Linked DNA regions of Mytilus edulis. The protein of the gene in region 1 purifies or fractionates together with the protein of each later gene. This does not show direct contact. Links are inferred from orthologs where the notes say so. Each region holds a gene or a part of one and is shown in the gene's direction. Other genes may lie near its edges. The genes, in order: AP-2 complex subunit sigma and F-BAR domain only protein 2-like.

Region 1 (16,143 bases):
TTCTTAAAATACAACATGTGGCCAAATACACAACTTCCAACTGAGTAACTTTTTACCAAGATAAGTTTACTTGAAGTACTGTGCTGAATTTTTACAAGCACTTAAAATCTTATACTTAAGGTGGTTCGTGGGTCTAAATCATTTATATAGGATTTCTCTATATTTTTCTATAAATGAACTTTATCTTATAGTTAATAGAAAAATAAAATAAGAAAATGGGGTCACCGTTCATTTGCCCATGCTTCTTTCGAAGGCAGATTGTGAGCGCAAATGAACGGTGACCCCACTTTTTTATTGTATTTTTCTATTAACTATAAGATAAAGTTCATTTATAGAAAAATATAGAGAAATCCTATATAAATGATTTAGACCCGCGAACCCCCTTAAAGAGGATTTTAAGTAATGAAAAAACTTACAATTTCAGCTTGATTTCCTATTGGAACCCACTTCAGATGTTTTGTTGTCACTGGAATATCATAAACAGCAATTATAAGATTTTTGGAAAATAACCAGTCATAATACAATAATTTATGTACATGTAGCTAGTGGATATAATATTTCTCATTCTATAAAAATTCTATTGTTGAGAAACGGAATTTCTTCACTTGCAACTAATCTATAAATTTTACGATCTGAGGCTTAATATAAAAAAAAAAAAAACAACATTATTGGACTCCGGATATGTTTTCTCCGTGAATTATATAGTGGGAATAACATTTTTCTCTATTGTTATGAGGATAATAGTTTGGTAAATTTCAACATTCTCTCCAAACAGTCTGTACGAAATATTGTTTTTGTAAATATTAATAACCTTTTCAGACATGGTTTAATTTTCAGGCAATCACATTGGTAAATTCAGAGAGTTGCAGGGAAATAAAGATCTTAAAGATATTTAAATATCAAGACAATGAGTGCTGTAAACTTTTAAACTACCTACGAATAGGAAATGTCTGTATGTAGAAATGGTTTACTAGTATAAATCTGCAGAACAAATATAAAATAATTCCCTTTCATAGAAATTTAGGATAATTTGACAAAAGTCTTCTACCAAAGGTTTTTCAAACGAACAGACCAACAGACTACAGCTGTTACTAGACCTGCTTTTGCACTTTCAATTTGTAAGTTATAATCAAAGAGCTGAAAGCTCTGAAGAAAAATGACGCCACTGTCTCTAATATTGGGATAGTTTTTATGCAAGTCTTGATTTTCACATACCGTAATTAGTTTAACAATGCAACATGTATCGTAAGCATATAATTGATATTCGTATATGTGTGTGTGTGTGAAGTGAAGGTGACAACTGGCTGGTTTTTTAAGACAAATGAATAGGTCAAGACTAGCTGAATTGTACAAATAAATACCGTAGAAAGGCTTGTATATTTCTCACTGGTACATAGTCTGAATCTGAGTCCGTTCGCTTCCATTCACGTTTGCGCCCACTCATTTTCACCCCTTTCACTTTCACACCCTAAATGTTCGCACCCAATCTTAATTGGTTTTGTGTTTAATAACTATGTAAGCAAGTGTTTTCTTATAAGTATAATTGTTGTCATTGTCTCAAAATAAAGTGAGACAGCAATTTTTTTTTTGTGTTGAATAAATCTTAATTATGTTTTGGATAAGGTATTGCTAAAAATAATAATAATCCTTTCTAAATAAAGTGGTATTTTGTCAACGTTTTATTTTGTGTTGAATAACTCTTAATCATGTTTTGGTTAGTGTATTGCTATAACTTGTTTCATTGACTTGTTTCAAAATGAAGTGAGATTCTGACTATGTTTGTTTCTGCGTGTTGAATAAATTTTATCATGTTTTGGTTATATTAGTGGATTGCTATATTTTGGTTTCTATGTTTTATTGTTTCGTTGTTTCAGATCAATGGGACCAAGCTGTTAAAAACAATTATCTTTTGTGTTTTTTCCTTTAAAATCTTCAATGTTTTACTCATACCAAGCTATAAATACATTCAGTATTTACACCAAAGCAATTTAAAACAACAACCATAAATTTCCAATTATTCAACTAGAATTTGAATTAAAATTGAGCGTGAATGAGTAGAGTGTGAATGTGCGAATGTGTAGGGTGCGAAAATGTATTGGGCACAAACAGACCTGATGCCACACAGTCTGAACCCCCTTCTCCCACAAAATATTAAGTAAATAATCTTTTTGTTACTGCTATCAAAGGTCTAATGAAACTCAGATAGTTTCAAACATTTGTCAAAGAATTCTAGTCAAACTGGCACCTAGTTAAATTGGCACCTGAACGTCGTAGGAAGGCGTCCCAGAAAAATAATAAAATAGCCTTGCCAGTCGTCATAATTATTTGGACTAATACATGAGATATTGTGTATTTTTCTGCATTATTTTAACCAGTTGAGCATTTTACAGGATTGTTGGTTTAATGCTGTTTAAACTTTACTGAAAAACAAACACCTTAAATTTGCTAATTATTTGGCATGAAAGTTTGATTTATTGAAAGGGACTCATAGTTTTCCATTTTATTTTAATAATTGACTTGTTTTTACAATTACACAAATTGTCTAATTGTTAAAACAACAGCTTTGGTAAGGGCTTCGTTGTTTACCTTTATACACTACATATTCACTTTCGTTTCGTGGTTTACCAAAATACACAACAACATATTCACTATGTACTTGGTAACAGTAATTAATTAATTGAATAGAAAATATTATATCAAATATTATTGGATGCCGAATTGACGTCGAATAGGTGCCGATTTGACTAGATGCCAATTTAACCAGGTGCCGACTTGACTTGTACGTTTCAATTCCTCTGCGATCGTTTGCGGTATTTTCTTGAGAAAACCTATTTTCCATCATCAAAGAGAAGAAGAAACTGCTTTAAAATGATTCTGGAACGCTTCATGATTGTTAAAATAAGTTTAATTCACTCAAAAACAATTTTAAAACTTGCGATTAAACAGGAAGTTTCCAAAGCACGTGTAAAAGAAGAAATTAACCGGTGAGAGTGGAAATCCGTATATGACAGATATCCCTATAGTACGACTTTGAAAGTAAAACAGTTCAATCCTTTTGTAAAACAATCTTTAATATACCTATCACATTAATGTTTGAATGGTCTTAAGCTTATTCAAACCATATAAGTCGGTATGAAACACCAAAACGGAATGAACAATAACCGATTACGGTTTGTAGTTTACAAATTCTAAAACTGGTTCCCGTCAAACTACAACACTTTGTTCGAGTGTAGTGGAATACAAGCAAAAACCAGTGTAAACTGGGTCCTGGCTGGTTTAATACTACACAATGATGCATATTGATAACACAAGCAGATTCCAGTTTGTTTGGAAAATAGGAAATACGAAACCAAGCGCGGTAGGCAGAGCAATGTAATGAAGTTCAGGTCGGCAGTTATGGAACAATGACTGCGTCATTTTCCAAAAACCAGTATTGCTTATTTATTTTGAAAAGAAAAATATATGACCATGATGACACTGAAGATGAATTGTTGGAATTTTTATTTCTTTAACTTACTATGTATGTTTTTACTCTTTTAATACATCCTTTCCTGTTTCATTCTGTATTTTCTTTGTTACATCATTAAATGCATGGTATAATTGTGCCAAAAAAATCTAGTTACTTCAAATAAGTGTGGATCAATTGTTATGAGATATCAAGTGACTCAAAGTTTTTGGGGGATTTACCAGAATTTTTAAAGGACATGGATTTCTGATGTGAAAAACCTAAGTATGAATTTGGACTATTTTTCTTGGTTCAATAAACAATTATTTCCAATTCTTGTCCGAACTTTGTGAAATAATTAAAATCCAGAAATCAATATACCTTTGTGGTCTTTATACAGATCATCAGGATCTGTTGTGTCTGCAACCTTCAAACACTTTGTACATTTGACCTTCAACTGAAATTCTAAAGTATCACCAGCGGTTCCCTCTGTATCACCTAAAAAGGTAAATTATTATTTCAGAGATAAATGTAACTAGGTGTTACTGCTAATGTGTTGAGGGCTTTATTTGGCTATAAGTCCTGAATACTTTTATTTACTACCTATTGATTGAAAAACCCCATATCCATATCTGCCGGTCTGATTTTAAGGCACAACCATAAAATCAAACATATCACAATTATAAAGGATGGGAATGTTTTACACCAAGAATCGTCAAATAATAATTTGTTGTTTCTGTACAAAATATATAAACATAAAAAAGACCTTATCTGTGCTAATTTTGATTAATATTTTTTCAGCAAAAGTAAAACAAATTATGTTCTTTTTTATTTCATTCCCATAGCTTCTATTTTAAAAGTGTTAATGCTTTGCTGGTGTCTGTCTTTATTTTATTGTTGAAAATACCAGTATCATTTCATTTCAACTCTGTGTAATTTATGATTTACAAGATGGTTGATCTTAAAAATCTGTGTTGAAAAAAATGAAATCAGTCTTAAAGTACATCTGTATGAAATCCTTAATTCTTATGAATACCTTCCTGTCGATATTCAAACAGTCTTGGATCAGCTTTAATAGGTATCAATCCCAGTCTGTGTGCTAATACTTCATCTTGTATTATAGAGGTATTATTGTAAATAAACACTTTTTCTATGGCCATTGTGGGTACCTTAAATAATAAATAATAGTAGTGTCAATCCATTACAAACATCTTTTAACATGTATCACTTAAAAGATCTGACTAATAGCAAGAATATGAGAAAACACTTGTTTGAATTTTTGTGTGATTTAATATACTTAGTCAACTAGACCACCAGAGCTTGTGTTTATGTTGTTTATTTACTGATTTTAAATAAAGTCAATTTAATTGAAACATGCTTTGTTTGATTAATTCTAAATGCTTTGGCTAAAGAGGCATCACTAGTGAGATTTGGGGTTTAACCTGCTATTTATTACTTACTTCTGAAAGAAGAATCCTTCTAAATGCATTGGCTAAAGAGGCATCACTAGTGAGATTTAGGGTTTAACCTGCTATTTTTTACTTACTTCTGAAAGAAGAATCCTTCTAAATACATTGGCTGTAGAAGCATAACTCCTAACGTGTCTACACAAGTGTGAGTTTGGGTGTAACTTGCTATATTTTACTTACTTCTGAAAGAAGAATCCTTCTAAATGCATTGGCTATAGAAGCATTACTAGTGTGAGTTTGTAACCTGCTATTTTTTACTTACTTCTGAAAGAAGAATCCTTCTAAATGCATTGGCTATAGAAGCATCTACTCCTACCATATCAAATTCAAGTTCATCATGGCTCATCTTTACCATATCAATTCTGAACTTCTAAAAAAGTATAATTGGTTTACAACTATAACCTTGTTCTAACAAACTACAGTAAAACCTGTATAAACCGGCCGGCTACGGGACTATGAAAAAGGGCCGGTTTGGGCAGTGAGCCGGTTTATTCAGGTTTCCGTATCGACCGGAAGTTAATGACTTGTGACGTCCGATAGTTTGCATATAAAAGTTCTCTTTGATAGTTAAGAATATCTGATCAATTAAAATATTTTCACTTCGTTTTCCATTGTTTACATTTGCATCCTAATGCTCGCGTTGTTTGGATTGTGAGACGAGAGTTTCGATTTACTTCCATGATCATTTATTTGAAATGTTGGAATGGCCGATCAAAAAGCCAGAATATTATCAAACGTAATCTCATCACTATTGAAACGTTGTCGTACAGTTTACTATACCCATTGATTGTTGTCATCTGGGTGGTTTTCATTATCAAGGTCATTTGTTTAGGGGTTCACAGCAGGGAACCCAGGGTTTCGACATCACGTTGTAAATTTCTTATGCTGCGATTTAAATTTGTTTATCCAAGTTAACGTTACAAAACGTAAGTTAAATCCGAGATATATTCGGTGTGTCTTGTCGTTTAATTGACACGTTTATAATGTTTTAATAAATAATACAGCTCACTACTGTACGATTGAAAGTTCACTTCACAGTTTAACACCTGACTAATTGATTAATTATCCTGAAAAGTCATATTGTATAAAGTAAACAATTATGTTTTGATTGCATATCGATCAGTGAAATTAATTAGACAAACCGGTTTTGACAGGTAATAATTAATGTAATTAAGAGTATTGGGACTTCATAATTAGACCGGAATTCGGAATACACAGGGTCCGGTTTACAAAGGGTATTTTAACAAAGACTTTGAAGGAAAAAAAATGGGACTTTCATTTTCGGCCGGAATGTACAGGAAGCCGGTTTATTCAGGGTCCGGTTTAATCAGGTTTGACTGTACATGTAAAATGCATTGTTTCATTAGTTTAATGTCTTTGCTTTACTATAATTTACTTCTTTTTTTTTTTAAATACTTTGCAACTTATATTTGTTGCTTGTTTTTAATTTTACGGTGTACTGTTATTCCACTGTCCAAGTTTAGTGGTGGGTTGGCGCCTTAAAACTAGTTCAACTTTAACTGCCACATTGTATGTGCCTGTCCCAAACTGTAATTAAGTGGTTGATGTTTTTTGCTAAATATCATATTTGTATTTCATTATTATTTTGTAAATAAATCAGGCAGTAAGTTGTCTCTTTGGAATTGCATTACATTAGTCATTTTGAGGCTTTTTATAGCTGACTATGAGGTGTGGGTTTCAATTATTGTTGAAGGCCGGACAGTAACCTATACAAATCTTACCTTTTCAAATTTTTTCTGACTCCAAGAGTCATCATAATCTTCATAATTTCCAGGAAAGTCAGAGCTATGTGTCTACAAATATAATTCATGAGTTATGTTTTTATTACATATTTAGAATAAGTATCTTAACATAAATTACACACCCACAACCTATCAGGTCTGTGACTGAATTTATTTTGAGTATTCATATGGTCATTAACTCATTTGATAAAGTCATGCTGATTATAAAGGTGCACACAGTTTTCTCTGCTTTCAAAATCTTTGTTTGAACCTGTCCTGGTTTTCTTACTACAACCAGAGACTACTTGTAGTTATATATTTTTTGGCCGATGATTGAATTTCATAGTGTTATTCCCTGTATAATGACAAAGTTCAGGTGTGATTATGACTTGTGTACAATGTATATAGCGAATTTTAATTCCAAATACACCATTTATTCAACAAATTATGGTCATTTGCATAAATCATCACTGTTTTCTCGTAGTCACGTGATAATCTTTGAAAATGAAAGGCAAATGGAAAAATCGATGGGTCTCTGTGAAAACTGTTAAAATATGGAAAAATAAAAGTTGGCAGGTAGGTGAAACTTACATAAATGAAAAGATAAATGAAAAATGAACAGATTGATGCCTGATTTATTTAATTCCAAGGCCGTCAGTCGGCACCAGAAGCGACGAAGCAGCGCATCTATTTTGGGTGGGCAAATATCCACTTTTTGATATGGGACGAGCTCTGACGTCCCACGGCCCCAGCTTGTCTGACAAAACAGCCGTTGGACCTCAGAGTAATCTCGGACTAGATGAACGTGAATAGTGCAGGGATACAGGCGACCCCTCTATCAGATTATTATATCTGGTAAATGACCTCATAAAGACACGTATAATTGACGAGTTTTATCCAGTGACGGATGAACTCGAAAGTGGTCTATTGTTTCAACATATATTATAAGCTTTAGGAACAGGATCAGGACATGTATCTTTTCCTCTTTTTATACAGAAATTATAAGACTCAAAATTAACCAGAAGCTTACAACCTTTACTATAGTATACTAGTTCCATATAAATGCTGAAAAAACATACATTTTCTACAGCATGCTCCCGTAGAGTAACTTTCCTCCTGACGTCATCTATTAGGTCTGTCATGTCAGACTTGGGTATTTTTTCTAAGCTACATGCATGTTTGTAAACAGCTCCATGTGCTGGTCCTCCTTTATAAAGATCATCTGAACGCTTTGAAGCAACGTAAAACTCCTTGGTGCAAAACGTTCTCCTGACGTTGAATGTGGGAGGTTAATCATTTCCGGTATACGAAATTATTCAGAAATGGTAACACAGCCTCTTTTTATTATATTTTAAGGCATTTATTCATGATTGAACACACATTATTTGGCCGTAACACTTTCTCAGTTGATAATAACTTGCAATAGTGCTAGGTGTATTCGGAGTTGAGATCCACATTTTGATCTGAGTGTTGTTGACACTGTCACTTTTGACAGCAATGCTAAAAAAATTTGAATGTATAACTTACAATACAATTTCTGAGTGGTGGAATTTAATATTTTGTGGGAGTTCTTGGCCTATTGATGCTTTTCCTCTGCTTCTTCTTAAAAAAAACGGGAGTCGTTACTTTCTGCAGAAAGTCTGAAAGAATAAAGTTCTAACTTCTGTTGCCCGGGCTACTTCTGTCTGACAGGCGCACACAGTTTTAACCCTCTTGCTGCCGGGGGGACACATGTGTCCACACCGACTGTGCTGGAGGGACACATATGTCCATGTTTTAACTTATGCTAGCTTCTCATCATTACTGTACCTCTTTCAAAATAAAAGACTGAAACTTAAAAAGTGTAATATGTTTCTACAATGACTCTCAAATGTAACGGTCATTACAGCATGACATCATATATCAAATGACATCATTGTTTGGCATGTCACATTGTCGAGCGGTCATATTTTCTGGCATATGAATGCAACCCTGAAAAACATCTGGCAGCAAAAGGGTTAAGTAAGTTATGTTAGTGCATAAAAGGTAGCACAATACAAAGATTTTTCATCCCCAATCAGACATCTTTAAACTGATGTAATTCCACTCATCTTTCTTTAAATGTTATAAATGAGGTACCAAAAGAAAGAAGAAGGATTATTCTTTCAAATTGTGATAATTTCATTAAGACATATCTTCATAGCATCCTAAAAAAAATTATAGATTCTTGCACAACACAGTTTGACCTCCAAAACTGTGTCTCAGATTTTTCCTATTGTATTTCATTCTCTCATAAATCTTCAATGAAGTTTGCAACATCAATTCATTAGAGACCACTTAGTTCAATTGAGTATAAAATTTGTTCTATTGATGATTTTGGAAATCTGAGACACAGTTTTGGAGGTCAAGCTGTGTTGTACAAGAATCTATAAAATATTTTGGGATGCTATGAAAAACAAAGACGCTAAATTCATTCAAGTGTGGACATCAAAATATAGCGACTAATTACATAATAATTAATTATGTAATAGTTATGTCATAATGAAATTATCACAATTTGAAAGATTGATCTTTCTTCTTTCTTTTGGTACTTCATTTATAAAATATAAAGAAGGATGAAATGAATTACATCAGTTTAAAGTTGTCTGATTGGGAGTGAAAAAATCTTTGTATTGTGCTACCTTAAATTGGTATCTGTCTGTTCACTTACAAACACATTCAGACCCTACATGTGCGCTAATTGAGCCTTGGGTCTGTTACACCAAATTCATGTCGCACATTTACTGGTTGGATAGACCACTTTCAAGTTATGTCCACCACTTGAAAAAATCATCAATTATGCACACCATTTTGACGATTGCTGAAATTTAACATATTAAAAGGACATGTTACATGTACATGTATGTACCTATATATTTTGAAGCTGTATTTTAGAGTTATGTGTATTCTGAATTATTCAAGAGGCAATTTCACAAAGGCACAGGGAATCTATGACATCTGACTTCCACTTCAAAGGTTCATAAGATACTTTTATCTTTACTGGTCTTGTGAAAAATAACACCAGGATGTTGACCAATGTCCAGCAGTCTGCTCAAGTAATTTAATGAAGCTATTATATTAAACTTTTGCTGCTATTTAACTTTATGGTATTAACTGTAAATTTACAATACATTTTTTCTAGATTCGTTTTATCCTGATACAGAACCGGGCTGGCAAAACGCGTCTGGCTAAGTGGTATATGCACTTTGATGATGATGAAAAACAGAAACTAATTGAAGAAGTGCATGCTGTTGTTACTGTCCGTGATGCTAAACACACTAATTTTGTAGAGGTACATTGTATGCTGTGTGATACTAGCACATGTACAATACCCATCATATGAATAAACAAACAATTATTTTTGAAGGGTCTCTTGTACTAAAAGATCAGTGTGATGCAATATAATTCTTGAAAAACAATGGACACAGTAAGTTTCAAGTGGTGTATCTTAAAAATGCTGAAACATCAACTTGAAACTTAGCACTTATTACCAGTTGAAATACATGAAAAACATCACCACAAGTTACTAAATGACACAGAAATTAACAACTATCATGACTATTCAACATTGATTGCCCATACTGGGAAGTCAGCCATAAAAGACCCTGAAATGACAAATGTAAAAAAAATTAAAGAAGAAAACTAAAGGCCAAAATGAATGTACAAAATAATGAATGCTTACCTGTAGTTTATGTTCAAGCAATCCAAAGATTGTTTTTTTTTTGTATTTTAAAGGGTTATTTGTAATAGATATACCTGTGTATAATAATATGTAATTTTTTTTGCAGTTTAGGAATTTTAAGATTGTGTACAGAAGATATGCTGGTTTATATTTCTGTATCTGTGTTGATGTAAACGACAACAATCTTGCATACTTAGAGGCAATACACAATTTTGTAGAAGTGCTTAATGAATATTTCCATAATGTCTGTGAATTAGATCTTGTATTCAACTTTTATAAGGTAAAGTATTTATATTGTGTCTCAACATAAAACCTTTATTTTGTGTTCATAATTATACAAGTTGAATAAAAGGATCTTAATAGATATATGAATGACAGTATTCCTTTTGAAGTTGGTGGTTTTCTCTTGGGTCCCGGCTTCCTCAACCAATAAAGCTTGTCACCATGACTTAGCCAAGTGTGCTGTAAGTGATATTAAAGACCAACAATCAATCTATCAATCTTATAAAATTCATGATGTTGTAACTGACAGAACAAGTCATGCAATTACAGAATTTCCATTAAGAAGTTTTAACTATTTATTTTCTATATTATGTGTCCTCTTTGTTGAGCCTCAACATTTTAAGTAATTGGTTTCTATGGTTTTCATACAATTTATAAGGGTCTGTACAGTGAAATCAGGAAAACAAATGTTCTAATCTATCATATCTTTATAGAAAAAAAAGAAGAAAAAAAAACCAACAACAAAAAGCAAGAAAGGAGAAAAACTTATGAACCATATCAACAAACGACAACCACTGAACAACAGGTTCCTGACTTAGGACAGGTGCAAACAAATGCTGCAGTTTAAATGTTTTAAAATCCCAGTTTGTCAACCATATTGAGGCCCTGTCCTAGGTCATGGTCCTGCAGCTTTGATTTAATAAGATTGTAGCTATCTATAAGATTATTCCTGAATTTTCTGCTGACAGACAAGACATATCTTTGTGTCAACAGTTTATTTAATGGGAAACTTCGATCTTCAGTTATATTTATTTTGTTTTATTTTTAGGTTTACAGTGTAGTGGATGAGATGTTTTTAGCAGGAGAAATTCGAGAGACAAGTCAAACAAAAGTTTTAAAACAACTTCTTATGTTATCATCATTAGAGTAAATACTATGTTATAGGACTTAATAGACCAAAGTGTTGTAGACAGATGTCATTTATTGTGTATGATTTTATTACTATGAACTTTGTTGGTTATTTTTAACAGAAATGTTACAATAATTGGCTATTTAGATAAAGATGTCATAATCCATATGTAAAACAACAAGTAATGTTTCTGAGGACAGTATCTGATTGCAAGGTGATTTTTGCCTAAAAAAAACAGAAAAAAGCTAGAAGTGATTAGAGTGGAAAGTGTAGAACTTTTTTTATTTCGTTGTATTATATAAAAGTTATCATTATATTATCAAAATGTTGTTTTGTTGAGACATGAAAATAATGAGAACGTTAATAGATATTGTTCATATGAATGATACATTCCAAATTCACCTAGTTATTGTTAATGTAAATACATGATATTATTGCATCCTCCAGCATGTTTTCGTGTTTCATGGTTACTGGAGAACTACATATATATATATATATATACAACTCGTCTAAACATCAACCCAACAATGTTAGATCGGTTAATTTGCTTTTGCAAATTTTTTTATCATCCCTCGCCGGGATTTGAACCCATGCTACTGAGATATCGTGTAGAGTTGTCACTGACTCAGACGTACTTATATATATATACCTATCAGAAAGGGAAGGAAATTTAGATATACAAAATCTAATTGCAGCTAAGAAAAATTATTATAATAGCATTTTGGTAAGACCCTAATGAAACTGAAGAGGCCTCTGGATCAGTTGCATAGATGAGGAGGTGTAGGAAGGGTCCTGATCCCAAAATCCTGGGCTTCAAAAACATGAAATCCAGAGGTCCCGAATTTAAATAAATTTTAATCCTGTCATCCCAAAATTTCGAAAAAAGTATTCCTCTGATTCCTAAAGAGTCAATCCCGGAATAAGTTTAAAAACACCTGACCCCAGAGTCCCAATAATGGTCCTATCCCCCCTCATAAATCTCTATATACAGGAAACACTATCAATGTTAAATACTCATTTATTCTTTATTTTAATGAGTATTGATATATCAAATATAAATTAGAGGTACAAAACTGTTCTTATATTTATGATAACAAAGGTGAAATACCATTTTTTTGTTACTGGTATTTGCTGCAATGGTTTATTGTCATAACGGCAGCATTATAAATAATACCATATAATTGGCAATGTGCAATGTACATTCTGGAAATAAAGTATGTATACATATATATATCGTTTGTTTTATGCATTTATTTGATATTGTTAACATATTCTGATCAGGTTGATTTAGGACATATCCACTGTTACAGTCTAAAAATGAGATTGGCTTCATTGTGTTATAAGTCCCCTACCAACAATACGAAAAGGACTTTAGGTTTGCACTCGGTCCGTCTGTCTGTCAGTCTTGGTCAGTCAAATTAGTTTTCCACATTTTTAGCTCACCTGGCCCAAATGGCCAGGTGAGCTTTTCTATTCACTTGGTGTCCGTCGTCGTTAACTTTTTTTTTTTTTAACAAACATCTTCTCCTCTGAAACTACTGGGCCAAATTTAACCAAACTTAGTCACAATCATCACTAGGGTATCTTGTTTAAAAAATGTGTCTGGTGACCCTGCCACCCACCAAAAATGGCCGCCATGGCTAGAAATAGAACATAGGGGTAAAATGTTGAATCGGACAACAGGTTGTTGGGTTGCTGCCCCTGAATTGGTAATTTTAAAGAAATTTTGTTGTTTTTATTGGTTATTATCTTGAATACTATTATAGATAAACTGTAATCAGCAATATTGTTCAGCAAAGTAAGATCTACAAATAAGTCAATCGACCAAAGTGGTTATTTGACCTCTGAAGGAGTTATTGCCCTTTATAGTAATGTTTTACCAATTTTTCGTAAATTTTAGTTATCTTTTACAAAAATCTTCTTCTCTGAAACTACTGGGTCAAATTTAACCAAACTTTGCCACAATCATTATTAGGATATCTAGTTTAAAAAATATGTTAGATGACCCAGCAAACCAATCAAGATGGCTGCCATGGCTTAAAATAGAACACAGGGGTAAAATGTAGATTTTGGCTTATAACTCTGAAACCAAAGCATTTAGAGCAAATCTGACAAGTGGTTGAATTGTTTGTCAAGTCAAAAGTTATCTGCCCTGAAAATTTCAGATGAATTGGCGTCTGGTTGTTGGGTTGCTTTGTTGTTTTTGGTTATCTGAATACTATTATAGATAGAGATAAACTGTAAACAACAATAATTATCAGCAAAGTTAGATCTACAAATAAGTCAAATGACCAAAATCATTTGAGCTCTTAAGGAGTTATTGCCCTTTATAGTAATTTTTTACCAATTTTTCCTAAATTTTTGTAGTCTTTTACAAATCTTCTCCTCTGAAACTACAGGGCCAAATTTTACCAAACTTGGCTACAATCATCATAGGGCCATCTACTTAAAAAAATGTGTGCGGTGACCCAGCCAGCCAACCAAGATGGCCGCCATGGCTAAAAATAGAACATAGGGGTAAAATGTAGATTTTGGCTTATAACTCTGAAACCAAAGCATTTAGAGCAAATCTGACTAGGTGTTAACTTTTTTTTCAAGTCAATATCTATCTGCACTGAATTTTTCAGATGAATTGAACAACCGGTTGTTGGGTTGCTGCCCCCCATTTGGTAATTTTTAAATAAATCTTGCCATTTTTGGTTATTATCTTGAATACTATTATAGATAGAGATAAACTGTAAACAGCAATAATGTTCAGCAAAATAAGATCTACAAATAAGTCGACATGATAAAAATGGTCAGTTCACCCCTTATTGCCCTTTATAGTCAATTTTTAAAATATTCATTAGTTTGGTAAATTTTTGTAAATTTTTACAAAATAATTTCCTCTGTTACTAACGGGCAAAGTTCATTATAGATAGAGATAATTGTAAGTAGCAAGAACGTTCAGTAAAGTAAGAACTTCAAACACATCACCATCATCAAAACACAATTTTGTCATGAATCCATCTGTGTCCTTTGTTTAAGGGCATACGATACAGTTTTGATCCTGTATTTACAAGTTGATGAAAATTTGCATATAGACTATTTTTTACCTGATTAAATCAAATATGTAATAAAAAATATACCTTTATGTGCTCCTTTTTGAGTTAAATGAGGTCGAAATTTTGTATATTTGCTCAAAATTCGGATTTGTGGCCGTATTTTCCCTTCCAAAAGAAAGCCATTACTTTTTATGCGACCGCAAAAATTGAAATTTTTTTGGTCGTATATTGGTATCACGTTGGCGTCGTCCAAATACTTTTAGTTTTCGCACTCTAACTTTAGTAAAAGTGAATAGAAATCTATGAAATTTTAACACAAGGTTTATGACCACATAAGGAAGGTTGGGATTGATTTTGGGAGTTTTGGTCCCAACATTTTAGGAATTGGGTGCCAAAAAGGGCCCAAATAAGCATTTTCTTGATTTTCGCACTATAACTTTAGTTTTAGAAATAGAAATCTATGAAATTTTGACACAAGGTTTATGACCACAAAAGGAAGGTTGGGATTGATTTTGGGAGTTTTGGTTCCAACAGTTTAGGAATTAGGGGCCAAAAAAAGGCCCAAATAAGCATTATTCTTGGTTTTCGCACTATAACTTTAGTTTAAGTAAATAGAAATCAATAAAATTTAAACACAAGATTAATGACCACAAAAGGAAGGTTGGTATTTTTGGGAGTTGAGGTCCGAACAGTTTAGGAATTAGGGGCCAAAAGGGGCCCAAATAAGCATTTTTCTTAGTTTTCGCACCTTTGGTATATGTATATAGAAATCTATGGAATTTAAACACAAGGTTTATGACCATAAAAGGAAGGTTGGGATTGATTTTTGGAGTTTTGGTCCCAACAGTTTTGGAATAAGGGACCCAAAGAGTCCAAAATTAAACTTTGTTTGATTTCTGACATCAAAAATTGAATAATTGGGGTTCTTTGATATGCTGAATCTAACTGTGTCTGTAGATTCTTAATTTTTGGTCCCGTTTTCCAATTGGTCTACATTAAGGTCCAAAGGGTCCAAAATTAAACTTAGTTTGATTTTAACAAAAATTGAATCCTTGAGGTTCTTTGATATGCTAAATCTAAAAATGTACTTAGATTTTTGATTATTGGCCCAGTTTTCAAGTTGGTCCAAATCGGGGTCCAAAATTAAACTTTGTTTGATTTCATCAAAAAATGAATAATTGGGGTTCTTTGATATGCCAAATCTAACTGTGTATGTAGATTTTTAATTTTTGGTCCAATTTTCAAATTGGTCTACATTAAAGTCCAAATGGTCCAAAATTAAACTTAGTTTGATTTTAATAAAAATAGAATTCTTGGGCTTCTTTGATATGCTGAATCTAAACATGTAATTAGATTTTTGATTATAGGCCCAGTTTTCAAGTTGGTCCAAATCATAATCCAAAATCATTATATTAAGTATTGTGTAATAGCAAGAAATTTTCAATTGCACAGTACTCAGCAATAGCAAGAAATCTTCAAATGCACAGTATTGTGCAATAGCAAGAAATTTTCAATTGCACAGTATTGCGCAATAGCAAGAAATCTTCAATTGCACAGTATTGTGCAATAGCAAGAAATATCTAATTGCACAATATTGTGCAATAGCAAGAA
Region 2 (15,979 bases), on another chromosome or scaffold:
AATTTTCAAAAATCACTAAACAAAAAATATATCAAATATATGACCAACATCTTACTGGGTATGGTTAGTCTGTCCAAGGCTCATCAAACAAGTGAAACTGCGAGCTACTGCTCACTGATGATACCCCCGCCGCAAGTGGATAATATTAATTGTGTAAAAATATGCAAGTGTTCGGTAAACAGGAAGTTGTCGAGTGATGAATCTGAAAACGCATCACAAAGTATAGCTGACTTATATTAACCCTTAAACCAATCTCAGAATCCTTGTATTGTTGTTCTTGAGAAAAATGTGACGAAAAATTTTCAACTTGGCTATCATGTGTAAAATCAAACAAGTGTTCGGTAAACAGGAAGTTGTTGAGTGATGAATCTGAAAACGCATCACACGGTATAGCTGACTTATGTCAAGCCTGAAACCAAATTTCAGAAATCCTGGTAGTGTAGTTCCTGAGAAAAATGTGACGAAAAATATTCATGGGACGGACGGACTGACGGAAGGACAGACAGAGGTAAAACAGTATACCCCCCTTTTTTTTCAAAGCAGGGGTATAATTATATGAAGTGTAGCATAATTTATTCCTGAGAAATTGTTGATGTGCATGCAGTATTGACTTAATGAAGGCAATAAAAAAACAAAAATTCTCTACCTTTTGAAAATTGAAGTGTCTTGTAGGATTGATATTACTTCATTTAATGACTAAAGGTCACTTGAATTAATTCATCACAAATCCTATCACTGAATAGCACTATGCAGTAAAATATTCATAAAATATTCAATGTATATAAACTTTGTCATCAGTTTTAAAATCTTAAATTATGTATTTTAATATATCCACTTGCAGTCTTCAGCTTTTTAAATTGAATTAAATCTTTTCCTTCAGTGGGAGTATGTAAAAGCGCTAACACATTATGATTATATGAAAACAAATAAAAAGTACAATGTGATTTTCTTATTTGAATATCAAACAGATGTTTAATCAAAACACAGACTATAGTACATTGATTATTTATCTTTATCATACATATAATACATAGTATTATCCATTTATACTTGTATTATAGGTCTCTGTTTATAAATATATATTGACCGTACAAAATTTTATTGAACTGTTAAATTTAAAATTATAGGTTTTTAAACAACAAAAAGAAAACGCAAATAACATTCTTTTATTTTCGTGGGTACCAATGCAATTAATGTGGATTGTGGGGAATAATATTTTTGTTGATATTTGATTTCAGGGTTATGCCTAAGTCTGCATACATGCCTAAGGAAAAGTTTTGTGGAACATTGAAATAATCCTGTACCCACGAAATCATTGAAAAATGGTATCCCACTAGATTATAATGTATCCACAGTGTAACATTCATATAATTTGGAATCAATTAAGATGACAATATTTGTTTAATAAATACAGGTACAAGAAATAAGATCTGGTCAAAATGTGCGAATGGCGCACGACCTTATGAAAGTTAGTAATAACATATGATTGACAATCTAATTATAGGCAGACACATGTTCACTCATAGCACATGGATCTGTTTTGGTCTATGTAATTTGTACTACTGCATACCTTCACTGGATAAAAGGCAAGGCACATTTCAATCACATTATAAAATTACAAGAATTCAATGAATTAAAGAATAATGATATTGTACAAAATATTTTGCATGCATAAAATTTTCAAAATTACGATTGTAAATGTTTTTTTTCTATATAAGAAGAAATCATGGGAAAAAGATCTTGCAATACTTGAAATGGTATGATATACATTGCATTATCATGTAATTAAAGGGGGGGCACCCTCCTATCAGGTTCCCCATAATCTATCAGTGTAGTCTGTACAGCTGAGATTAAGAATAACATGAATGTGGCCAAACAGATAATGATGATGCCAAGGTTGTTATCAGTCTGTTACAACTAATTGTAGGACAACTGCTTAGCTTGTGGTCTTACCTAGTAAACTCCTGAACAAACTTGACACTTTAAAATACATATGCATTAATCCATTAAATAATCAATCTCTCCTGAATTTATATTACACTTTAAAACGTTTTAATAATGCAATCGTTTACAGCTTTAAAATTTTTTATGAAAATAGAGAAAACAACACCTTCCACAAAAATAAACACTTCAAAGTTAAAGCTATCCGTCAAATTAATCATACATATGTGCTTAGCGTGACAAATATGCACTTTTTGCATTACATATATAAATGTAATAGTAAGTATTAAATTTAAAAACAATATTGATATTCCTTACCCGATTTAAATATTTTCAATTATAATCCATACAGGATCTGAAGGCTTTATGAATATATCAATAAGTCTATAGTAAATATTTGGCATGGTATCATCAGAAAACTTTATCAGCTGTATGCTATCATTGTGTCACATCACAAAGTTCAAAAACTTGGGTAACCATCCAACTATGTCACTTAACCTGTAATATAACATTATCTTGTTATTAATAAGATATCTTCCTTAAGATAATTAATACAATAAGTATGATAAAACAGATCAATATACAATGTACGGGATATGTATTTTTTTCTAGTTCAAGGCTGACATCTCATGTAAAGTAAAAGTATATGCAAAAAAAAAAATACACAGAAGGGTCAGATGACAGCAAAACAAATAGATGTATTGTCATTTGGCCATTGTCATTTGTAATTTTTCAATTATCATATATGTATTGGAAATGCATTATATAAATAGATTACTGATGGTTTTTTTTCTACAAGATAAGGATCAGATATACATTGTAATGTACCAAGTTTCAAAAACATAAATAATCTGCTATTTTCCTAGACATTGTCAATAAGTTAATGTTAGTGACGGTGTCAATGACATATTGTTCATGATGTCTTCACATTCTCTTTCTACATGTACATCTAAGAAAACACATCTGAAATAGCCTGATGGAAAATTAACTAGTAGTGCATGTAGATCAAAGGGATTTTCTTAAAATTAGTCATAATTGAAGTTATAAGTATCATAAACTTTACCTAAGTAGCTGTCCTTTTATTTTATAAAGTTTAGGTCAGAATATCTAAATTAGGATTAAAGTAGCTCAAACTGCATTGTTTCACAATTAATATCATTTATTTTATCTATCTTTCAAGACTACATGTAGTTTGAAAAATACAGTACTTATAAATCTTGTAAAATGCTGAATAAAAATAAACGCAAGTTCCCATTATTACAAGGTTATTTTGATTGTTTTAAAATATTAAGTACATGTAATTACTTTATTTTAATCTAAATACATGTAATGGAACACTTTCAAGACAATAATATGCATATTTTAAACACATAAGTACAGTCTTGGTCTAATGTTATAAGTATTTATAGTTAGGATTGTATAATTTAAGTCTAAAGATCATATTACATAAAAATAAATGCAAAGTTATGACACAACAATATTTTATTCTATATTAAAATGAAAAATAATTTCCGGACAGTCATGACAGTGTGGTAAACAGACAAAAAAAAATTCAATTGCTGTTTTAAAATTGTCATCCAAAATATTTATCTAAGAAAAGTCAGCGTCCTGTTCATATTAACGTTTTTCCTACTCATTGTAATATCCGCAATTATATGTATCAATCTATCTCTCTAAATATACACATCCTGTTCTTATTATAGTTTCTATTACTAGAGATGTCCCAACTTACAACATAACTTATTTCTTATTTAAGTGTCTAACCTACCTCACATAAAATGCTTTCACAATGTTAAGTTATTTCTTATTTTTGTTCCCGTAAATAAATGGGAGATAATCCAATTTGAATCATGGTCAATCACCTATTACCATGATTACAAATGCATTTTACATCAGATACTTATGAAAAGTGTAAATCAGGTTGCAAGTCCGGATGTCTCTACTAAGTACTCACTTCTTACTATGAATAAATACATGTATGTTGTTGATGCTGTTTATCCTTTTCACGTAACAGTATTCCTCATTAAAAAAACATTTAGTTTATATTCCACTCACTTTTTTACTCTATCTGGGTTTTTTTTCAGTATTTCAGGCTTTTGCTCACTAACATCATTTAGTGAAGAGGTAAGACTTTGCTGTTTACACAAATCAATAGTTCTGACAGTATGATGCATCTACTGTCTGTAGGAAGGGTCAAGAAAGGGTAATTTTTGCTTAATTTAATACTTGACCGATCTGGTCATGAATGACGAAGACAAATAGTCAAATATCAGACTTACTATATGTCATGAATAATTATTCTCTTCTCCAGTTTGAACATCTTAATTTCAGACATTAATATAACTGACATTTTTGGAGTATCTTGCAATATACTTTATACACACAGTCATATTTATTATTTTTTTACAAAGACGCTTTATTGATTTGAAATTTACAAGTGTCAATAAATGGTGTAGAAGTCCAGACCTTAAAATATGACTGCAGTGACTAGAGATTACAATCCATAACTTAAAAAAACAGGAAATACATTAGAGTCCACAACATCAGATATCAGATTAAATAAATAAGTGTATCAACTAATGTAATTAATATTATCAATTTTCATTAAATCAGGAAATGTGATATTTTTGTTGATATTTAAAAGTATTCAATACAGTCTGATGTACAAAAAAATCAATATTTTACTTGACTGGTTTTACAAAAAAAGTTGTTTAGTCCCAAATACATGTTTTTTTTTGTACATATTTTATTAATATTATTCAATGCATACATCATTCATGTGGTTGGGATCTCTTTGTTTAAAACAAAAAGTTGTTTACTATATATAATCAGTGGCGGATCCAGGGGGGGGTTCCGGGGGTGCGCACCCCCCCTTTATTTTTGCCGATCAATGCATTTGTATCGGGACATATGTTTTGCACCCCCCCTGCACCCCCCCTTTGCCCTGGGTTAGCACCCCCCTTTCGAAAATTCCTGCATCCGCCCCTGCTAATTACACTAAATTTTCTCATTAGTTATAAAAGATCACTATTAAAGTCAGAAATGGAAGTAATATACTGACTTTCTTAATGCACCACACAAACAAACCTTAAGTCTCACATTAAAAATAAAATCTATATAACAGAAATCAAAAGAAACATGCATTCTAGGCCAGTAGATGGGATTATAATATCACTATATAGAGTTTTTCTTATATGATGAAATTGTAATTTTTTTTTAAAGTGAAATGCATGTTATATTGCGTCTGAGGATAATACTACAATAGGACTTGGAGAAAAACCTAGTACAGATAATTAGGAATAGTTCAAATTCGATGCGAATGACATAAAGAGATTGATATGTAGTTTACTGTCAATGAATGCCCGTGTATCCCAAACTCTGTCTATTCGACAAAAGATCATTCGGTCAGACAGAAATTTTCAAAATTTTTAGTTGAATATATCATGTATATAGAAGAAAAACGTCAAATTTCTTTTTCGGTCAGGCAAACCCTAAAAACAGTTTGGTGCAGACTGGAATGCTGTTGTAATTTTCATGTTCTGACAACATGTATGTAGATTTTTATCCTGCAAGGTGCAATCACTAATTATATATTATCATTTCTGTGACTTCCTATTGATAGAAAGGACAATATATATTTAGTGATTGCACCTTGCAGGAAAAATTCTACATGTGCTGTCAGAACATGAAAATTACAGGAAAAGGAGTTACATATGCCATTATAATAATAAATGGTGTTTACATGTATGATGGATGGAATATGGAGTTGTTACAAGGGTTATAAATCAAAATTAATTTACAAGATTATTTAGAGTACTCTTCAGAGGCGGATTTAGGGGGGGCCCGGGTCTCCCTTTTTGGGAAAAAAATTGGTTGCTTATATAGGGAATCACTGAAGCGTAACTGGAGCAGGCCCCCTCTTAGGCAGTCAGTGGGCCCCCACTTAAGAAAATTCCTGGATCCGCCACTCTCTTCATATCTTCTGCAAACTATTGTTTACATACAGGAATAAATACTGTCAATAAATATAAAATAACATAGTTTTTCCATAATCTTGATAAATAACAGTTATTTGTAGAGGTGGTTGATGCAATTCTTCCAGTCAACTTAAATTTATGAAGGGAAAAAAATATACTATTAGTAAATCACTAAACTATAAGTATTTAGTAATTACAAGTATATTTTATAAATACAACCTAGCTGTCAATCTGACTTTGACCATTTTGAACTTATTTCAACTTTTTAACCAGAACTTTTTAAATTCTTGGCCTAAAATCTTTAATTTTGGTTCATTTTAATGACAAAAATATTGATCTTTCAAACAGTTGTTGTGACTCTGACTTTATTAACATGTCTGTGATTACCCAATACAGTATTAACTTTGTTCACCATATCTTGATGTTGAGAGATAGGGTTTGGATAAGACTGTTTGCGATGAACAGGATAGCTGAAATGGTGTGAATTGTTTAAGTGTATGCCATGTGTTTTCTATTGTATGTGAACTTTGTAATGTCTGTATGATACAACCACAGTAGAAGATCCAGAAGGGGGGTCCAGGGGCAAAAATACTCCCTTTTTGAAATAGCTGGATCCACCCCTGCACCCAGTGTGAATAAATCGGTTGTCTTCTACAAGATGGTGTTTTTTTTTATGAATATGAATGCTCAGAGTTCTACATTTACCACATAGTGTACAGTACAAGGGAGTTCAACCAACCATTTATGATTTTTTTTTTACCCTCAACTATCTGGCACCCCCACAGAAATTAACTGTAATACATGTAATACATTATTATGTTACTTTAGTTTAGTTTACTGTTTGGGTGCCATATGGGATTCTTGTCCTATATGAACAGTATTTTTTTTGGAAGAAGCAAGTTGATGATCTTTTAAGTGAATTCAGTCACTAGTCAACATATATTTATTTTTTAATCGTCTTGTACCTACATGACTTTGTGCAATTAAATATTGCCAATGAGAGGGTTTTAATGGGGGTACCTGTAAGAGGAATAAAGGTAAAAATTCTTGTCAAATGACGTTAATATTGTCAATAACAGAATAAGAGGGTCTTAATGGGTAGTTGGTGCACGACGATAAAATGTACACTTTCTTTCAGACAATTAAAAAGATGGACTGATTTAGGCAATGAAATTTTTCAAAAAACACCAAAATGATAATCCCTGATATAAAAGACGAACTTAACCATAAAATGTCAAGTGTTCCACTGCATATGATTCGGGGTAAGTTCTTTATCTAAACAAGGATGTGTATAAATCTAAATCTACTATACAATTTGCCATTTCAATTATATTAGGAATGCATTATGACGTCACGATTTCCATTGAAAAAGCATGCATAGTACGAAAACATGTGAGGTACGAAAACATATGATCTGACCATAGATTGTGGAGGGGCGTAAAGGGGTGGTATCTGCACAGAAGACTGCGAAATAAAATTGCCAGATAGCACGTTGAGATTTTTACCGATTTCACGAAACACGTCAAATAACGAACCTATTTCACGGTTGCACGTGAAATAAAAATGGCAAAACACGTTGCCCGAAAATTACCCTTTACCACCCTCATTGTGCCTTTACCACCCTCATTGTGCATCACTTCATGCATGTGTTCAAAAACTTTCAAAGACTGTAAATTAGTGAGTGTAAAATTGTCAAAGTTATCAAATTGTGGCCACATGGGGATACCAAAATCTATAACTTCAATTTTGTACGAAGCCTTATCTCTTTTTAAATAAATCCGAAATATTTCTGAGCTGTAAAGAAGAAATTGCCATGTGCATTTATACCTTTTTTGGTTTTTTTTGTACTTTCCCGGAAATTTTTAACTGACAGCTGACGACATATAAGCTTAGACCCGCAAGGTAAAAGATCGTTGGTTAAAGCGCTAATCTGAGTAAGAAAACGGATGTGCGCAAACGCAAAACAATCAAAATAATCGCCATTTTCATGGAACAAACCAGATGCAGTTTCAAAATTTAGGATGACAACTTTCTCAGATCATTTTTGGGTACTTAAATAAATAAGGTTTTCAGAGACGGACTATGAGATGACATTTACTTGAAAAAAGCTGCGAAAAAGCGACACCATTTCATGCAATTGACACTTGAAAAGGGGGTGTTGTCTAGATCATGTTTTATATTATCTTGTGTTCATATTTGCATTTTACCACTGTGCCTCAAATGCATATTCATATTCTGCATCCCAAGTACTATTTCATTCATTTGAATATTTGATATAATATCAGTATCATTTCTGTGACAAGGAAACAATTTATAACCTTGAAGCTCTTTAGACTTTACCTTTAGTTACTTCCCTTTCCATTTATTCACCAGGATACAATCAATAAACCTTATTACTATAAGTAAATCTGCAACACTTGATCTTATGATGTCAAACAATCACTTTTCCTTAGTGGCATCAGGCATTTGTTATGATGTAGAAATTCTACAGGAACTTTTGTGATGTCTAGAAATTGGCGATAAGGTGTAAAGACCAATGTTGAGTTTTTCAGGGTCATAGTTTACAAAGACTCAAGTTGATTGATTATGTAACTCTGGACTCTGAATCTACTATTCTACAAATTCTGTCCCTTTACTTCCAATGAAGATTCTTATCTTAAGACCAATCCATTGACTTATATATATATCAATATTAACGTCTTGCATGTCCATATGACCATGCAGTGATGCACTCAGAAAACTTCCACCTTGTCTGGAATTTAGCACAATTTTATATATTTTAATGTTGCTTCCTGACACTGATGTATTTTGACATCACTTATATTAATTGCTAGGCGTTGAATAAACTCAATTTATAAATGACAACAATCTGGATTTAGAGAAAAACATTCATGCCACACAGCACTTATCAAAATAATTGACAAATGGTTAGAAGAATTTGACAAAGGCAATTTTACTGCTGTTTTATTTCTAGATTTTAAAAAAGCATTTGACACTGTAAATCATAACATCTCATTATCGAAACTGAATTTATATAAATGTGATGATCACTCTGTTAAATGGTTTTCATCCTATCTCTCAAATAGATTGCAAAAGGTTAAAATTGGAACAACTGAATCAGGATACAATAATGTAACATTTGGGGTCCCACAAGGTTCCATATTAGGACCTTTATTATTCTTAATCTATATAAATGATCTCCCGTTTGAATTAGAACACACAGAGTCTGAATTATATGCCGATGACACAACTTTGCATTTATCGTCCAAATCTATTTCAAACTTAAACTCTTATTTAAATAAAGACTTTGAAAACCTAATTGAATGATGTGATAAAAACAATATGATAATAAATAACAAGAAGTCCAAATGTATGCTTATGGAATCTGAGAGAAAACTTGAGAATTGTAACGATGTCTTGTGTGTATTATCACAAAATCAAACTGCATTTGACAATGTAGAAGTGGAAAAACTTCTTGGTATCCATATTGATAAAAATCTATCATGGTCAATTCACATAGATAAAGTATGTGAAATATTTTCAAGCAGATTATACCTGCTAAAAAGATTAAAACGATACTTACCTCGCAAAGGTCTTATCCTTTTTTATAATAGTTATATATTACCGATAATTGATTATTGTTGCAGGATATGGGGTTTTACCGCAAATTGCAACATTGAGCTGATTCATAAACTACAAAAGCGCACAGCAAGATTAATTTTGAATAAGCCTTTTGATTATCCATCAATATCAATGTTTAAAGAACTTAATTGGATGACCATTTTTACTCGGATAAAATATTTTCAAGCCACTTTAATGTTTAAATGTATGAATGGACTAGCGCCAGATTATCTTACAATTAAATTTACTGCGTGCAGTGATTTATATAGTTATTCTCTTAGGTCAACAACATCTGGACATCTTCATATACCAAGGCCAAAGTCTGAATACTTCAAAAAGACTTTTCAATATTCTGGTCTAATCATTTGGAATAATTTCCCAAATGATTTAAAGGATTTAAGACATATACAGTGTTCTAGGATTTTTTTGGCACCTTGACTTACCACGGGTAAGATCAATAAAAAAATTACTTACCCACATCTAAAAGTTAAATCCGCCAACCAATGCGGACGGGGCAAAGCATACCCCCTGGTCCTTTTTTCAACATCATACAGTTTGTCTCTCTGCTTTTTGTCAAGTTTGGGCTTTTTTGGTGGGGGTGATGCTTGATTTATATCGTTTAGCCTTTTTGAAGTAAATCCAAACTTATGCAAACTCATGAAACTTTGAATATTGTAATTTACTGAACAAAGCTGGATTCGGATACGATTGAATTTTGTACAAAATTAAAAAAAAACGATTTCTTACTAAATTTGACAAATATGTTATAGTTATTACTATGTCATTTATTAAGAGCTATAATAAATGCAACTGTAAGTTTATTTTCCTCTGATGACAAGAAAAAAAATCGTTTATGTCCCGATTTAAGCACCAGTTATCAATCCGGATTTTTCGATTTTACCGACACCGTGACCGACTTTTAGAATGATAGGAGAAGAATGTGGTCTCTTTTGCGCTTGATTACACCTAGTAAACGAGTGCTTGAATAAAAGCGCCGATAGACATCGACAAAATCTTCGATCTTTTATCAAAGTTTTTTCTCGTGATTTAATAAAAATAAAAAGCAGATATGGGAAAATTGAAGAGGACCGGGAAATTTCAAGAGTTTTTCGGCTTCCCCGAACTTGAAAATTGACTTACCACCGGGTGACAAAGGCTAAAAAATGACTTACCCGTTGTCCTAATCCACTTACCCCGGGTAACGGGTAATGGGAATCCTAGAACACTGCATATAGAAAGCTTTAAGATGAAATGTGTTAATCTCTTTATCATAAAACAAAATGAGTAGTCAAACTTTTTTAGGACATTCTTGCCATGCTAGTTCTACAGTCTGTTTTCATGCTTGTGTATATATATATTTGTAATTGTGTACATATCTATTGATTATTGTTCTATATGAATTATTCATTTAAATGTGTGAAGGCCTTGTGTGAGATTAACAATTGTATGTTAAATGAGTTACCTTCGTTAAATAAAGAATTTATTATTATTATTATACCAAACGCATTTATCTACTTAACACAACAATTTATCATGCTTTGATTGACTGGAAATTGGTTCAACAATTGAAATGAAGATTTCTAAAATATGCATATTTTAGGAATTTCAAAATGTGACTGAAAATATAAATTTGCCTTAGCTGACAATGGCTGATGTGGAATCTTTGAAATGTTTTATAAAAATTGCTCAAAACAAATCCGCTTTTCCTGTACATGTGTTGTTCCTAGGATATCTGGAAATTTTCTTGTATTTGTTTTTCTTTGCCAAAATTGTATAAAGAAAATTTGCTTATAATAATTGAAATCGTCCCTTAGATCCTTAAACAATTAGTTACATTGAAACAGGTCAGAAAACACCTGATGTTTTAAAAAAAAACTACATGTACATGTACTTAAAAAAACAATGTTGACTAAATGGCAAAAAAAGATATAAATTATGAAATATATATGTGATTATAGTTGGGAAGGCAAGTATGTATCATGCTGTATCATTTTGGTCAAGTATAACCAATATTTTTTTTATTTTTAGGGAGAAAAGAACAATGGCTTCTATGTGCTGTATCATAATATGAAACATGGCCAGACGGCTTCTAAAGACTTCATAGACTTTCTGAGAGAAAGGTATTTTTAACTTCTAAAGACTTCATAGACTTTCTGAGAGAAAGGTATTTTTAACTTCTAAAGACTTCATAGACTTTCTGAGAGAAAGGTATTTTTAACTTCTAAAGACTTCATAGACTTTCTGAGAGAAAGGTATTTTTATACGACCGCAAAATTTGAAAAATTTTTCGTCGTATATTGCTATCACGTTGGCGTCGTCGTCGTCGTCGTCCGGCGTCCGAATACTTTTAGTTTTCGCACTCTAACTTTAGTAAAAGTGAATGGAAATCTATGAAATTTTAACACAAGGTTTATGACCACAAAAGGAAGGTTGGTATTGATTTTGGGAGTTTTGGTCCCAACATTTTAGGAATTAGGGGCCAAAAAGGGCCCAAATAAGCATTTTCTTGGTTTTCGCACTATAACTTTAGTTTAAGTTAATAGAAATCTATGAAATTTTGACACAAGGTTTATGACCACAAAAGGAAGGTTGGGATTGATTTTGGGGGTTTTGGTTCCAACAGTTTAGGAATTAAGGGCCAAAAAAAGGGCCCAAATAAGCATTATTCTTGGTTTTCGCACAATAACTTTAGTATAAGTAAATAGAAATCAATGAAATTTTAGCACAAGGTTTATGACCACAAAAGGAAGGTTGGGATTGATTTTTGGAGTTGAGGTCACAACAGTTTATGAATTAGGGGCCAAAAAGGGGCCCAAATAAGCATTATTTTTGGTTTTTGCACCATAACTTTAGTATAAGTAAATAGAAATCTATGAAATTTAAACACAAGGTTTATGACCATAAAAGGAAGGTTGGGTTTGATTTTGGGAGTTTTGGTCCTAACAGTTTATGAATAAGGGGCCCAAAGGGTCCAAAATTGAACTTTGTGTGATTTCATCAAAAATTAAAAAATTAAGTTTGATTTTAACAGAAATTGAATCCTTGGGGTTCTTTGATATGCTGAATTTAAAAATGTACTTAGATTTTTAATTATTGGCCTAGTTTTCAAGTTGGTCCAAATGGGGGTCCAAAATTAAACTTTGTTTGATTTCATCAAAAATTGAATAAATGGGTTCTTTGATATGCCAAATCTAACTGTGTATGTAGATTCTTAATTTTTGGTCCAGTTTTCAAATTGGTCTACATTAAGGTCCAAAGGGTCCAAAATTAAACTAAGTTTGATTTTAACAAAAATTAAATTCTTGGGCTTATTTGATATGCTTTATCTAAATATGTACTTTGATTTTTGATTATGGGCCCAGTTTTCAAGTTGGTCCAAATCAGGATTCCATATCAAGTATTGTGCAATAGCAAGAAATTTTCAATTGCACAGTATTGCACAATAGCAAGAAATATCTAATTGCACAATATTGTGCAATAGCAATTAATTTTCAATTGGAGTTATCTTTCTTTGTATAGAATAGTAGTTGATAATATATATTGGAAATTTGCCAGACATGACTATCAGGGATCTCCATGGCCTATTTAACGATGGCGCCCCGCCATCGTTCAAATGTCATGCGCCATCGTCAAATGACTCGCGCCATCGTTAAATTGTCTTGCGCCATCGTTAAATGTCTTCCGCCATCGTTCAAAACTTCATCGTTTTTTGTAGCCCGACGCCATTTTTTTTATCAATTATAATCAAATGCATGTAATTGCATAACCCTTAGGCTTTTTATGTTATAATCCAATACAGTTCTAACGCCTGAGGAATCTACGGATTAAGATCGCTTATCACTTGTACCTGAGCTTGTACAGGTAGATCAACAAACCAGACACGAGAATACTATCTGAGGATAGACGATTCATTTGTCGAAATAATCAACTAAGTTTTAGCAAATGATTATGATAATTTAGATTAAATAAATAAATTAATAATCCAGTTGCAAAGAAAACAGTTTAACAAGTCGAACACGTGCTTTGTTTTGACTTACGCAATCAGCATCCCCCTTTTTTAAGAAGTACAAAATAAGACGCAAGTAACTCGAGTACTGCTGTAACAATAATTTAGAATTACTTTAAAAGTTTAAAAGTAAAAACTTTAAATATTTTCTGTAAAGAAGTATCGTATCGTAATTCCGAATTCATTTCGTATATTACAATCAATTTGATACATCCGCGTTTCCGGTTTCTATTCAGACTCGAAAGATACATGTTACACAGCATCAATTTGCCAGATAAAGTCATTAAAAACCTGTTCATTTGTCAACGTTTGCTTTACAAATCTCTTTAACCTTTTACATAACCCGTACGAATCGTTTTGTTGTTGATGCAAATCAGCCATACCGGTAATGGGTTCTGAATTTGACAGTGTCCATGAAAAATAAGCTCCACATCATATGATTTTTAACCCCCATAACAATTACCAAAAAAACAAGAAATCTACATGGGGACCGTCATGACAGCCTTTGGTCATTCTCGACTAAGGGGGGACCATGAAGACTTAGCATTTGAATGGTTAAAAACGGCAATAAATAAAAATATTGATACTTCTAATTCTATAATGAAAATTCAAATAAATATAATTTAAATAAGCAATGAATTAGCATTTTCACCATTCCTTGTATGGAGGGATAAAATACTTCCGATCGCGCTACACTGTACAATGTAGACACGGTTTGTAATGGTGAAAGTTCCTCCATCGTTCAATTTTCATCCATGGAGATCCCTGACTATGATGTCATTTTCTATTTTTATTTGCCAATAACTTTATGTAAATAACTTCATTGGAAATTTGCCAATATAAAATGTTGCTGATGAAGCTTTTTTTCCTTATCTTATCTAAAATGTTTTTAGATAATGTATGTTGGAAATTTGCCAGACATGACTATGATGTCATTTTCTATTTTTATTTGCCAATAACTTTATGTAAATAACTTCATTGGAAATTTGCCAATATAAAATGTTGCTGATGAAGTTTTTTTATTGTTTTATACAATAAACAATGTATATTCACTTTTACTACCAACCAATCTTTACCATTCAGTGATAACAAGCACTTTATTTTACATTTTAATATTTTATGATGTAAAAGAGTAGTTATTGTTGCAAACTCCATTAGAAATTTGAATTGATATCAGTTTTGGAAAAGGGAAACGGGGATGTGAAAAAAAGGGGGGGGGTTAAATTTTTCTCATTTCAGATTTCATAAATAAAAAGAAAATTTCTTCAAACATTTTTTTGAGAGGATTAATATTCAACAGCATAATGAATTGCTCAAAGGCAAAAAAAAACTTTTAAGTTCATTAGACCACATTCGTTCTGTGTCAGAAACCTATGCTGTGTCATGATCAACTATTTAATTTTAGATTTAAAAAGTTTGAAGAAGAAATCTTTAATTGATTTGTAAAATCTTGACATTTGTTTTGTGTAAAAAAAAAACCTATGTAATGTCAAAAATTTGATCACAATCCAAATTCAGAGCTGTATCACGCTTGAATGTTTTGTCCATACTTGCCCCAACTGTTCAGGGTTCGACCTCTGCAGTCGTATAAAGCTGCGCCCTGCGGAGCACCTGGTTAACTTCTAAAGACTTCATAGACTTTCTGAGAGAAAGGTATTTTTAACTTATGAATACCTGTACTACTATAAAAAAAAAAAAAAAGAAGAAGATCTGGTATGATTGCCAATGAGACAACTCTCAACAAGAGACCAAATGACACAGAAATTATCAATTATAGGTCACAATACAGCCTTCAAAAATGAGCAAAGCCGATACCACATAGTCAGTTATAAAAGGCCCTGAAATGACAAATGTAAAACAATTCAAATGAGAAAACTAATGGCCTAATTTATGTACAAAAAAATGTGTACTATGATTCTTTACGAAACCATTCTAAGAGAAAGATAATCTGGACTGATACATGTACTATTATGTTTATTTAAAATACAAAAACATTTACTTAATGAAGAAAAGAAAGAAAGGGTACATGCACACATTTGAATTAGGCCAAATAAAAATATAAGTGTGATTCCATTTACATCCTTTTAAAAACTAGGGTCGGTTGGTCTGCAATTTAAAATTATTTTTTTTTTAATTTTGATGGTTAAAAAATGGAAAAAAATCATGTGTTTTCTGTAATTAATTCCGGTATTACACAAGCCCCTACCAAAATTTCACCATTTTAAATGTGTTTGTTTGTAAAATAAACTTTATTTTATGTTTTTAGTTAATTTTGTTGCATTCTGTAATGAATTTGTTGCATTTTATCCACAACTGATACTTCTGAGGGAGATTCAGATGACAAAAATGTGTGAATTTAATGAAATGAAATGAAATGTAAAAAAAGGTCTAGGGTTGGGGGGTCTAAACTCTAGTGAGGGTCAGGTAACTGGAA

Evidence for each region.
Region 2: the proteins of AP-2 complex subunit sigma (region 1) and F-BAR domain only protein 2-like purify together in Homo sapiens (co-immunoprecipitation; 3 studies listed by BioGRID and IntAct, counting the BioPlex papers as one, with this or other methods). This does not show direct contact. The link is inferred for Mytilus edulis from reciprocal best matches to the Homo sapiens genes AP2S1 and FCHO2.

Annotation. Positions count from the first base shown.
Region 1 is NC_092346.1:91,459,056-91,475,198, forward strand, and holds AP-2 complex subunit sigma, read left to right. Parts: upstream 1-7,871; 5' UTR 7,872-7,978; coding exon 7,979-7,981; intron 7,982-9,816; coding exon 9,817-9,966; intron 9,967-10,462; coding exon 10,463-10,636; intron 10,637-11,407; coding exon 11,408-11,509; 3' UTR 11,510-12,717; downstream 12,718-16,143. Other genes in the region: DNA-directed RNA polymerases I and III subunit RPAC1-like, read right to left, coding at 417-466, 3,827-3,943, 4,482-4,614, 5,177-5,284, 6,657-6,728, 7,736-7,798. UniProt on the Homo sapiens protein: Component of the adaptor protein complex 2 (AP-2). Adaptor protein complexes function in protein transport via transport vesicles in different membrane traffic pathways.
Region 2 is NC_092344.1:9,083,659-9,099,637, forward strand, and holds the start of F-BAR domain only protein 2-like, read left to right. Parts: upstream 1-7,837; 5' UTR 7,838-7,939; coding exon 7,940-7,966; intron 7,967-11,567; coding exon 11,568-11,659; intron 11,660-15,979. UniProt on the Homo sapiens protein: Functions in an early step of clathrin-mediated endocytosis. Has both a membrane binding/bending activity and the ability to recruit proteins essential to the formation of functional clathrin-coated pits.